3 linked regions of the Macaca mulatta genome follow. The protein of the gene in region 1 interacts with the protein of each later gene in a pairwise test. Links are inferred from orthologs where the notes say so. Each region holds a gene or a part of one and is shown in the gene's direction. Other genes may lie near its edges.

What was found.
Region 2: the proteins of CIB3 (region 1) and KLF17 interact in binary tests that used the Homo sapiens proteins (3 or more experiments, as listed by UniProt). The two-hybrid records come from large-scale screens. The link is inferred for Macaca mulatta from reciprocal best matches to the Homo sapiens genes CIB3 and KLF17.
Region 3: the proteins of CIB3 (region 1) and SERTAD1 interact in binary tests that used the Homo sapiens proteins (3 or more experiments, as listed by UniProt). The two-hybrid records come from large-scale screens. The link is inferred for Macaca mulatta from reciprocal best matches to the Homo sapiens genes CIB3 and SERTAD1.

What each region holds. Positions count from the first base shown.
Region 1 is NC_133424.1:16,649,721-16,653,956, reverse strand, and holds the start of CIB3 (calcium and integrin-binding family member 3), read left to right. Parts: upstream 1-1,436; 5' UTR 1,437-1,480; coding exon 1,481-1,531; intron 1,532-1,762; coding exon 1,763-1,797; intron 1,798-4,236. UniProt on the Homo sapiens protein: Acts a an auxiliary subunit of the sensory mechanoelectrical transduction (MET) channel in hair cells. Plays a role in regulating hair cell MET channel localization and function.
Region 2 is NC_133406.1:196,521,081-196,525,228, reverse strand, and holds the start of KLF17 (Krueppel-like factor 17), read left to right. Parts: upstream 1-1,348; coding exon 1,349-1,429; intron 1,430-4,148. UniProt on the Homo sapiens protein: Transcription repressor that binds to the promoter of target genes and prevents their expression. Acts as a negative regulator of epithelial-mesenchymal transition and metastasis in breast cancer.
Region 3 is NC_133424.1:51,532,120-51,536,364, reverse strand, and holds the start of SERTAD1 (SERTA domain-containing protein 1), read left to right. Parts: upstream 1-1,445; 5' UTR 1,446-1,559; intron 1,560-4,101; coding exon 4,102-4,245. UniProt on the Homo sapiens protein: Acts at E2F-responsive promoters as coregulator to integrate signals provided by PHD- and/or bromodomain-containing transcription factors. Stimulates E2F1/TFDP1 transcriptional activity.

The sequences.
Region 1 (4,236 bases):
ATTAGCCAGGTTTGGTGGCAGGTGCCTGTAGTCCCAGCTACTTGGGAGGCTGAGGCAAGAGAATGGCGTGAACCCAGGAGGTGGAGCTTGCAGTAAGCCAAGATTGCGCCACTGCACTCCAGCCTGGGTGACAGAGCAAAACTTGGTCTCAAAAAAACACACACACACACACACAAACACAAAACAAACAAACAAACAAAAAATTAGCTTGGCATGGTTGTGCACACCTGTGGTCCCAGGTACCTGGGATGCTGAGGCAGGAGAATCGCTTGAGCCCAGGAGGCAGAGATTGCAGTGAGCCAAGATCATGCGACTGCACTCCAACCTGGGCAACAGAGTGAGACTCTATCTCAAAAAAATAAAACATCATAAAATAATAATAATAACATCAATGCACACCCCAGAACTTCATCTAGTTTGTTCATGTTCCCAGTGCAGTGATGCAATCACGGCTCACTACAGCCTCAAACTCCTGGGCTCAAGCAATCCTCCCACCTCAGCCTCCCGAGTAGCTGGGACCACAGGCATGAACCAACATGTCCAGCTAATTTTTGTATTTTTAGTAGAGACAGGGCCTTGCCATGCTGCTTAAGCTGATCTTGAACTCCTGGCGTCAAGCGAACCTCATGCTTTGCCTCCAAAAGTGCTGGGATTGCAGGTATGAGCCACCTCACCCAACCAAAACCGTATTTTTTTTTTGAGATGGAGTCTCGCTCTGTCGCCCAGGCTGGAGTGCAATGGTGTGATCTCGGCTCACTGCAACCTCTGCCTCCTGCGTTTTCAAGCAATTCTCCTGCCTCAGCCTCTGGAGTAGCTGGGATTACAGGCATGCACCACAACAGCAGGTTAAGTTTTGTAGTTTTAGCAGAGACGGGGTTTTGCCATGTTGGCCAGGCTGGTCTTGAACTCCTGACCTCAGGTGATCCACCTGCTTCGGCCTCCCAAAGTGCTGGGATTACAGGTATGAGCCAATTCACCCAGCCAAAATCTTTTTTTTTTTTTTAAATCTCAGATCCTGAGAATGACCATATGAGGTAGGTATAATGTAATTTTCATCTCATGAATGAGGTTCAGAGAAGTCAGGTGACTTGCCCAGGGCCACACAGCTAGTGGGCAGAGAGCTGGAATTTGAGCTGGAGTGTGCCCATAGCCCTTCCGCATACCCTCCCTGTCTCTTGAGTGTGGCCCGTAACCCCAGCCTCACCTGGTGGTGGCAGATGTGGCCTCCCCACTGAGGGCTTCTCTGTGATGTCCCACAGCCCTCATCCTCACCCATGGACACATTCAGGCTGTTGTCCAGAGAGCCTGGCTGTAATTTGAGTCTCACCAAGCAGGGGGTGACGGTGTGGGTGGGCGGGTGACAGCCAGGGCAGGGAGATTTGCCCAGACACTGGTACACAACAGCCTGGCAACCCGTGTGGCCCCGAGGAAGCTGGGAGCCTTCAGCGTGCATCCCCGAGTCTGGGCTGTGGTTCACACCATGGGCAACAAGCAGACAGTCTTCACACACGAGCAGCTGGAAGCGTATCAGGTAGAGGGGTCAGGAGGGGTCCTCAGTGGGTTTGACAGCTTTGGTTCCGTGGTCTGGGAAGTGGGAACAGAATCCCTTCATCCGGGTGTACCGTCTGCCTGGGTTCCTGGTTCGTTCGGCTCTGTGTGTGGCAGCATTGGGCCATCTGTGTGAGTGTGGGGTGGAGGGAGGAGGCCATGGGAGGAGGCCCCAGAGGCAGGGTTTGGGTTAAGACAACACCTCTCTCCACAGGACTGCACGTTTTTCACAAGGAAGGAGATCATGAGGTCAGTCCAGGGAGGTGGAGAGAAAAGATCTGGAAAAACAACTTTCTATTCATTGCTGGAGGATATTTGCAATTTGGGGTGTGTGTGTGTGTGTGTGTATGGTCCTTCTTCCCTTCTTCCCTTCTTCCCTTCTTCCCTTCTTCCCTTCCTCCCTTCCTCCTTTCCCCCCTCCTCCCTTCCTCCCTTTCTCCCTTTCTCTCTTTCTCCCTTTCTTTCCTCTTTCGTTCCCCTCCCTCCCTCCCTCCCTCCCTCCCTCCCTTCCTTCTTTTCTTTTTTGTTTGAGATAGGTCTCTATTGCCTAGGCTGGAGTGCAGTAGTGCAATCGCGGCTCATTGCAGCCTCGATCTCCGAAGATCAGGTGATCCTGCCACCTCAGCCTCTCGAGTAGCTGGGACCACTGGTGCGAGCCGCCATGTGCACCTCATTTTTGTATTTTTTCGTAGAGATGGGAGTCTCACTACGTTGCCCAGGCTGTTCTTAAACCCCTGGGCTCAAGCAATCCACCTGCCTCAGCCTTCCAAAGTGCTGGAATTACAGGTGTGAGCCACCATGCCCAACTGGTATTTCCAATTTGATGGGACTCAAATGGGGAAGGGGGGCAGGTGTGGTCAGTGCATGGAGGCAGAGATGGAAAAGCTGAGAAGTCACATCTTGTCACATTGTCCCAGTCTGTAGGCTGATGAGCTTGGGCTTTCTCCCAAGGGTGGCAGGGAGCCATGGAGCATGCATGAGCAGGGCAGAGAGCATCAGCTTGTTAGAAAGAGTCTCCTGAGGCTGGGCACGGTGGCTCACGCCTGTAATCCCAGTACTTTGGGAGGACAAGGCAGGTGGATCACCTGAGGTCAGGAGTTTAAGATCAGCCTGGCCAACACGGTGAAACCCCGTCTCTACTAATAATACAAAAATCAGCTGGGCGTGGTGGTGGGCGCCTGTAATCCCCGCTACTCGGGAGGCTGAGGCAGGAGAATTGCTTGAACCTGGGAGGCGGAGGTTGCAGTGAGCCGAGATCACGCCGCTGCACTCCAGCCTGGGTGACAGAATGAGACTGCGTCTCAAAAAAACAAAATGAAAGATAAAGATTCTCCTGAGACTGGGACTTGAGGCTGGGAGCCCAGGTGCAAAGTCCAGAGCCCACTACGGGTTGCAGGCTTGGCATTAAGGTGAGGGTATGGGGAGGTGGCCCAAGGCTGCTGCATGTCCCTGGTGTGACCGAGCACGATGGGCACAGATGAGAATCCCATATCATCACTCAGCCTGTGGGGCCATTGTCCAGGGGCCCCGGCCCATGAACTTGGAGCTGTGAAACCCAAGCTGGCCAGGGTTCGGCTGCAGTGTGATCGGGGCCAAGGCCCCAATTGTGTAGTAACAGGACATCCATTATTGATGGCCACACCTTTTACTCGTGAGCCCCATTGTCTGGGTGAGGACAGCTTGCAGGGTCACCTTGGCCATCATGATCAAATTACCGATGGGGAAACTGAGGCTCAGACAGGGTAGGGCTGACCCCAGGCTGAAGGGTAGATGCACAGAGCCCCAAGGCGGTTGAAGGCTGACATTTCGTCTGTCCCAAACTTCTTGCTTATCAGATAGAATAACCAAGGCACAGAGCGGGAGAGGAACTTGCTCAGAGCCATACAGAAACCTAAACCCAGGATATTCCCTGAGGGGACCCCGACAGGGAACTGAGTGGTCAGGAGGGAAGTTCTAGGTCTCCCCACCCTACCTTCATTGAATTCCTAGTCATCATATGACCCAGGGACTCGTGTCTCTCTCAGAGAGAGTCCCTAGCAGCTTGGGAACCTCAGACCCACCAAGGATGGTCTCTGCAAGGCTGCTGCTCAGCATGCCCTAATGAAGGTATGGTGTCACCAGGTGAGGGTGTCTGAGTGGAGAACTGGCCTTACAATCTAGATAGTGTGTGTGGTATTCAGTTATTTGCAAAATGCCTTTTGTCTGCCCTTTAGAAAAACGTGAATATTAGCTGTGTGCCTCTGCTCTGACCCGTTTGAGGAAACCGTCCCCCCCCTTTTTTTTTTTTTTTTTTTTTTTTGAGATGGAGTCTCATTCTTGTTGCCCAAGCTGGAGTGCAGTGGCATGATCTCGGCTCACTGCAACCTCCTCCTCCCGGGTTCAAGTGATTCTCCTGCCTCAGCCTCCCAAGTAACTGGGATTACAGGTGCCTGCCGCCATGCCCAGCTACTTTTTTGTATTTTTAGTAGAGATGGGGCTTCACCATGTTGGCCAGGCTGGTCTCGAATTCCTGACCTCTGATGATCCGCCCACTTCAGCCTCCCAAAGTGCTGGGATTATAGGTGTGAACCACGGCACCCAGCCCCTTCCTCCCATTATGAGGAGAGGAACGGAATGTATGAAAGTGAAGGTATCTTTGGAGGCAGGGTCTTGCTGATAACATGACGATATCCAGAGATGTGTGGATTA
Region 2 (4,148 bases), on another chromosome or scaffold:
AGCTCCTTTAGATTTATTTATTTTATTTTATTTTTTGAGACGGAGTTTCACTCTTGTTGCCCAGGCTGGAGTGCAATGGTGCGATCTCGGCTCACTGTAACCTCCGCCTCCCAGGTTCAAGTGATTCTCCTGCCTCAGCCTCCTGAGTAGCTGGGATTACAGGCATGCACCACCACGCCTGGCTAATTTTGTATTTTTAGTAGGTTTCTCCATGTTGGTCAGGCTGGTCTCAAACTCCCAACTCAGGTGATCCGCCCACCTCAGCCTCCCAAAGTGCTGGCATTACAGACATGAACCATTGGCCCAGCCACAGCTCCTTTAGATTTCTAACTGGTGTCTCTGCACCCCTCTGGCCCTTTATAATCCATAAGGAGCCAAATGGCTTATTTTAAAAACATGTATCAGATCATATCAAGTTCCAGAATAAAATCCAAACTCCTTTCTACTGTCTTCAAGGCCCTATCCCTCTGTCCTCGTGTCACTGCCCATGCGGTATCACTGTGGTCACCCTGCCTTCAATTTCCTTCTAGCACTGTTGGGCTCTTTCTTGCCTTAGAGCCTTTCAATCTTCCTATGGCTGGCTCCTTTCAGGCATTTCGTTTTCAGCTCACATTTGTCTTTTGGTTTTCCATAGCACTCACCACCATCTAAAGTTATAATAGTTAACAACTTTATTACTCATTTCTTGTCTGCCCATGTAAAATGGAAATTGACAGCAAGGACTTTGTTCTGTCCTGTTCACCATTTTACCCCTAGTTCAGAGACCAATGCCCAACACACACTGGGCACTCAGTAAACACTGTGGAATAAATAGATTGTGCCATGAAGCTCGCAGTCTTCAGTTCGTACAGACAAGGGACAGAGGTGCACAGACTGTAGCAGAAAAGCTCCAGCCCTCCCAAAGCTTATGGCAACTCCCGACCTGATAGAGTGCTGGTGGAGGCTCTCCTGTCGGCAGACGCCCTACACCCAGCCTTGCCTCTCTCTCCAGCCTCCTCCTGGGTGGAGTCTGAGACCTGGGGGTCCTCAGCCCCTACTTGGGTGAAACAGTTGCTCAGACTGAAGGGTGGAATGGGTGGGTTGGGTGGGCGGACCAACTTCCTTTAGGAAGCGTTCAAGGCCTAAGGTGGCTGTCCGTGATGCCGCCTTGGTTGGGGTGGGCAGCCTAGGGCAGGGCTGCGGGGGCGGCGCAGGGCGGGACGGGTGGGGCTGACTCCGCCCCCTGGCGCAGTTGTAAGTAGGTAAATAGAAGGTGATTGTGGCGTGGCGATGTCCCGATACCCGCCTGCGACGCCGTGGTGGCTGGTTTCCTGTCTGTTCAGTAGAGTCTAGACCCCACCCAGTCTTCATGTACAACCGACCGCGGGCTGAGATGGAACAGGAGGCTGGGGAGCTGAGCCGATGGCAGGTGGCGCACCAGGCTGCCCAGGTGAGTCAGGTGTCAGCTCCTGGCAGGCCGGGGGCGGGCCCAGGCTAGGGGGCGGCGGGGAGAGGAGGCCGTGTAGGAGAAGGGAGGCAGAGGGAAGCAGAAACCCGAGGGGTGGAAATCCGAGGGGAGGGGTTGCAAAGGAAGGAATGGGAGATTGGGGAGGGGCTGCAAAGGGAGGGATGCGAGATTGGGGAGGGACTGGAAAGGGAGGGTTGTGAGATTGAGGGTGTAAATCATACGTCGTTTATTCCAATAATGTTCGCCCAGCAGTAGAGCTTGTGTTGGGTGCATCGGGGGTAAGAGGGTTCCAGGCAACTTTCTGGCGAGGGATTTGAGTAGGCAGGACAGCAAAGACCAAGTTAAGAAGTGAGCAGAAAATGACAGGAAAAAAAAAATGTTAATTGGAGCCCTACTAAGTGGTAGGCTTTTTCCAGACCGTGGAAATACAATGATGAATTTACCATGAAACAGATATATATAAAATTTTATTAATAAATCGTTAGCTGAATGATTGGAATTGTACGGCGTTACATGAAGGAGAAGTCGGGGGCGCATGGGAGCAGATACCAGAGGTGTTTGACCCGATTTGGGAGGCTTAATGACAGCTGAGACTCTGTTCTGGGACTAGAGAACCGGTCAGGTGAAGGGTTCCCCGGTCTAAGACCACAGGCTGTATGCTTCCTCTTAGGAGGAACTGAAAGACCAGGGCCTAGACAGTGATGGGAGGGTGGCCCCAGGGACACATTGAGATCATTCAGGGCTTGTTTATTCCAAGAGCAGTGGGAAGCCATTGATGAGTTTAAACAGTCTGTCTCAATTAGATTTGCATTTTCAAAGGAGTGTCCTGGTGGATGTGGGCTGGATTCAAGGCAATAGTTAGAAAGCTTTTGTGATAATCCAGGTGAGAATTCAAATGGCGGCCTACCTAGAGAAGTGAGAGTGGAGATGGAGAAGCTAGATGTATCATAGATTGTGGAGATGTTTTGGAGACAGGGATCACAATCATTGCTTCCAAGTGGTGAGGGAGACATCTAGAGTAACAGATTTCTTGCTTGCACAATTGAGTGACAGCAGTGATATTTTCTGAGCGAGAAAGAAGGGTGAGAAGGACTAGGTTAATCCGTTGTTTGGGGGAGGTGGGCAAAGATGATAGTGAATTTTGGACACAGTCCATTGGAAGAACCCGTGGGCCATCCAAAAAGACCCAAACAATAGCTAGCTGGAAAATGCAGGAGCCATCTTCGCCAGAGCCATAGATTTAGGAATAGTTGGATTGTAAACAGAAACAGATCCACTGGCATGGGGAAGCTTGCCCAGAGAGAGTAGAGGAAGAGAAATCTGCAAAAGAGACTGTGAAGGAGGGGGTCTGAGAGAAAGGAAGGAGAAAAGGTCGGAAAGTGTGTCCATGCGTGTGAGAGGCCAAGGGAAGCATTATAGGAAGGGTGTGGCCAGTGGTCCTATAAACTGAGAGGTCAAGCCAGGAGTCTGGAAAGTGCTGCTTGGTCATAGTGGGATGGAAGTTGTCACTGGTGACCTTTATGCAAGCTGGCTCTGTGGAGAGATGGAGGCCAGAGCAAATTTGGGAGAATCATAAGGCAAAGTAGTGGTGAAGGCCTGTTTAGACAACTTAATTTGCCATGAAGGACTGGGAAAATGAGAGGGCCATTGCTAAGAGTTAGGGAAGACAGGCTGAGCACCCCAGAGGGGCCCACCCAATAGTCATTTACCTAGTTCCTATTATATGTCTGTCTTATGCTAGTTGCTGAGCATATAGTGGTAAATAAAACTGATAAGGCCAGGCACGGTGGCTCACACCTGTAGTCCCAGTGGCCCGGGAGGCTGAAGCAGAAGGATTGTTTGAGCTCAGGAGTTTTAGGCTGTGGTGCACCGCAATCACGCTTGTGAATAGCCACTGCACTCCAGCCTGGGCAACATAATGAGATCCTGTCTCTAAAATTATTTAAATTAAAAATAAAACAAGATCTTCCCAACTCTTCTAGAGTTTTTTTAAAAAAGAACATTTTCCTCTATAGCCAAAACCACATAATCAAATGTATCAAAATTGTATATATATATATATATGTATATGTGTATATATGTGTATATATATATACACTGTTTTTTGAGACAGGGTCTTGGTGCTGTTGTCCAGGCTGGGATGCAGTGGCGCCATCTCGGCTCACTGCAACCTCTGCTTCCCAGGTTCAAGCAATTCTGGTGCCTCAGCCTCCCCCCAAGTAGCTGGGATTATAGGCGTGTGCCACTCCACCCAGCTAATTTTTTGTATTTTCAGTAGAGAGGTTTTGCTATGTTTGTCAGGCTGGTCTCAATCTTCTGCCCTCAAGTGATTTACCCGCCTCAGCCTCCCAAAGTGCTGGGATTACAGGAGTGAGCGGCCACACCCAGCTGATAATTCCTTTAAATCATCTTAGATGCAAGCCTTATTCAAATGCCCCTAGCTATTCCTAAAATGTACTTCGTAGCTGGAATGTCCAACCAGAATTTAAGACCATACACTGTATCTGGTGATTATGTCCCTTGAGTCTCTGAAATTAGAATAGTTTTATTTTTTCATGATTGGGATTCAGTTTTTCATGATACTGACTTTTGTCTTATAGCATGTTCCTTTCAGATATATCAGATTGCTTCCTCATGGTAGCATTTAGCTTTATCTTCTATCACTTGTATTACCTTTAAGTTATGATTAGAACTTACAGCT
Region 3 (4,245 bases), about 35 Mb from region 1:
CCAACAACTATCAATTAAATCTAGGTGAGAGAGTATTCAGGTGTGAGCCACTGCATCCAGCCAAGGGAGGAGTATTATACCCTGTCTACCTCTAGCCCCATCCTGCATGTCTATTCATCTTGAACTAAAAGCTTGTCTTATTACAACAGCTATTACTGCTAACAAGGAAACGTGTTGCTAACCAGGCACGGTGGCATGTGCCTGTAGTCCCACCTGCTTGGGGGTCTGAGGCAGGAGGATGGCTTGAACCCTGGAGGTCTAGGCTGTAGTGAGTTGAGATGGCACCCCTACACTCCAACCTGGGTGACAGAGCGAGACCCTGTCTCAAAAACAAAATAAAATAAAATAAAAAGTAAAGAAAAAAAAAAGGCAGCTGGGCGCGGCATCTCAGGGCTCTAATCCCAGTACTCTGAGAGGGCGGATTACCTTAGGTGAGGAATTTGAGATCTGCCTGGCCAACGAGGTGAAAACCCACCTCTACTAAAAATACAAAAATTAGCCGGGTATGGTGGCACACCCCTGTATTCCCAGCTACTCAGGAGGCTGAGGCAGGATGATTGCTTGAACCTGGGAGGCGGAGGTTACAGTGAACTGAGATCGTGCCACTGCACTCCAGCCTGGGCGACGGAGTGAGAATCTGTCTTAAATAAATAAATAAATAAATAAATAAATAAATAAATAAAATGAAAAAACCACAAAACACATTGCACCCCACTCTGAGGATTTTGCATGAATTGTTTTATTTAATCCTTAAAACAATCCTCTAAACTAGGGGCTATTTTCTCTCATGTTAAAGGAGAAAAAGACCCGAAGGGATTAAAACACTTGCCCCAGGTCACACAGCTGCTTAGGGAATGGAGCCCGGGATGTGATTCCGCACTCCCACCTCACTGCCGCCCTTAACCACAATTAAGTCCAACTGTCCAGCATTGCTTGAGTGTGGTATTGTGTTCTTATAGATACGATCCTATTTAAACTTTCTTGTCAAGAGGTATGCAAGACGATCCCCATTTAACTTTGTGTAGCTTGAAGAGGTTGATCATTTTTCCAAGGTCACGCATCGAGTGAGTGGGGAATCAGGAGTCGGAATTTGAACCTGGGCATATCTGTAGTGTAGACCACTGTCGGGGGTGGATGTGTAAGAAGCTTAATTGCCGGGTTTGGCAGGTGCATGGGTAGTTGTGAGGGGCTCGTACTTTGAGAGGCAAAAGCTCCCACTCGCCACCGTCCCCCAGAGTAAAAAGCCACCTCTTTCCACCCCTCACTCGCGCAGCTGCCCGGGCATGCGCCCAGAAGCCCCTCCTTCAGAATCCGCCCTTTACAGGCTCCGCCCATCACCGTAGAGGGCCAATCCCTGGGGCGGAGGGCGGGGCAGCCACGAGAGTGGGCGGTCGCTAAGGGTAGTTAGGAGTCTGGAGTCGTGAGCCGAAGTCAGAACTGCGTCTCGCGACCCAGGCGCCGGTTGCTGGAGGAGAGCGAGCAAGCGATGCTGCCGCTGCCGTTTCCTGATTGGTTGTGGGTGGCTACCTCTTCGTTCTGATTGGCCGCTAGTGAGCAGGGTATGTAAATGAAGGGGCCTGGGAAGAAAAGGGGTACCAGCGGCCGGGTCCTTCACGGAGTTCGATCCCTGGGTCCGACAGGTGCCCGCCGGGGCTGCCCGGGATCGAGACGCGCGGGCCTCTACGTGCTGTCTGCCCCGGCCGGGCCGGGTGAATCACGCCGCAGTCCGAGAAGGGGGCGGAGGCGCCGGCTCCTTGGCTCCGGCTGCGTGACTCACCCGCCCCCGCCGCCGCCGCTTCGGGAGGAGCCGCCTCCACTGCCGGAAGCGAGCGGAGGCCGGGCGCAGAGAACAGCCCGCCTAGGGTCCTGGCTCTCACGGCGCCGGGAGGCCTGCAGGAATCACAGCCGGGCAGTAGAAGGGGTTCTGGGGTCAGAGGGGCCAGAATCCCCAGGGGAAAGCCGGCCTGGGCACCGCCAGGGGGCGCCGGGACTCGGGGGCGGAGTCGGGGGTGGGGGCGGAATTCCTGCGGTTCCGGACTCCACGGACTGCGGGGAAGGGGACGAAGACCCAGTTTTGAGTAGTGTGGTGGGCCACTCTTAAAATCTTGCTAGGCAGGGTCCCGGAACTGGACTCTAAAGTCTTCCTGGCCCAAAAAAGTAGGTAGCGCCAGGGGTCCAAAACTCCATCCAGCCCTACCCCCGCCACTCCAAGAAAAGAGTGGACCCTCAAACTTATCTCAGTGACTGACCCCGGTGCCGATCACGATTTCTCGACAAGCCCTGTCTATTCTGCCTCCCAAAGAAATCCTGACTCGACCGACTTCCTTCCATACCCACTACCAGCTCCTGCTCCAGGCCATCACTATCGTCAGTCCCAAACCAGTACAGCCTACTAGTGGGTCTCAGATCCCCCCTCTTTTTGCCCCCTACAGTATTCCTCGAAGCAGCCATGGGGGGGATCTTCCGGAAACCTAATCAGCTCACACCCCCATTCCCTCCGTGCTCAAATTCCTTTAATGACTGCCCACCACACTCAGGATAAAATCCAAACTCCCTACTAATGCATATGTGGTTTTCTGTGACCTGGCTTGTGCCCATTCCCCCAGCCTCTGGGCTTTTCTTTGCCTTTTTTTGTTGTTCCCTCCTCCCGGAATGCTTTTCCCAGGGTCTCCCATGGCCGACTTCTCTGGCCTGAGGGCTCCATTCAAATGTCACCTCCTTACAGGAGCCTTCTCTGATCATCTAAAAGGTCTCCAGGACCTTTTAGTGTCTTCCTGTAATTCTCCGTACATTTCCTGTGTTTGCTTATTTATTTACTGTTTGAAACGTCATAGTAGACAATAAGTGTTAAACTATGTGAAACTAGTTTAGTATTTATAATATAACTTACTTAGATATAATTATTTATAACGTTATTATAATATATGAAACAGCTGCTTTTGTAGGGGAAAAAGTTGAATGGTCATTCCACATGGTTCACTGAAGAAATAATAATGTTATCATTAAGTGTACTTATTGGCAGGGCATGGCAGCTCACACTTATAATCCCAGTACTTTGGGAGGCTGAGGCGGGAGGATGGCTTAAGGCAAAGAGTTTGAGACCACCCTGGGTAACATAGTAAGACTTTGTCTCTACAAAAAATAAAAGGGGGGAAAAAAAGAGTGTTTATTGATTGAGGGGGGAGGATCACTTCAGGCCAGGGGGTTTGAGACCAGCCTGGGCAATATAGTGAGACCCCATCTCTTTTTTCAGATTAAAAAGTCTATAAATATACTTAAATACAAAATTTAAAATTTAAGGCCGGGCGCGGTGGCTCATGCCTGTAATCCCAGCACTTTGTGAGGCCGAGATGGGTGGATCATGAGGTCAGGAGATCGAGACCATCCTGGCTAACATGGTGAAACCCCATCTTTACTAAAAATACAAAAATTAGCCGGGCGTGGTGGCGGGCGCCTGTAGTCCCAGCTATGTGGGAGGCTGAGGCAGGAGAATGGGGTGAACCCCGGAGGCGGAGCGTGCAGTGAGCCGAGATCGAGCCACTGCACTCCAGCCTGGGCAACAGAGAGAGAGACTGTCTCAAAAAAAAAAAAAAATTTCTTTTAAAGTCTATAGGCTGGGTGTGGTGGCTCACACCTGTAATCCCAGCACTTTGGGAACCAGAGGTGGGCGGATTACTTAAGGTCCAGGAGGTCGAGACCAGGCTGGCCAACATGGTAAAACCCCGCCCCTACTAAAAATATAAAAATTAGCCAGATATGGTGGCGTGCGCCTGCAATCCTAGCTTTTGGGGAGGCTGAGGCACGAGAAACACTTGAACCCGTGAGGCAGAGGTTGCAATGAGCTGAGATCACGGCATTGCACTCCAGCCTGAGCAACAGAGCGAGACTCTATCTCAAAATAATAATAATAATTTATAAATATACATATGCAATTAAATAAAAATTATCTATATCTTTAAAGTTCCCTAGGAAAAGCTAGACACAGAGAGGTTAAGTGACTTGCCCAAGATCCTACCTGTAGCAACTGTCAGATCCAGGCTTTGAACTGAACATTTGTTTTCTATAACTGACTATAACTCCATAACTCCCTGCCCTCTGCAGATGCTGAGCAAGGGTCTGAAGCGGAAACGGGAGGAGGAGGAGGAGAAGGAACCTCTGGCAGTCGACGCCTGGTGGCTGGATCCTGGCCACGCATCGGTGGCACAGGCACCCCCAGCTGTGGCCTCTAGCTCCCTCTTTGACCTC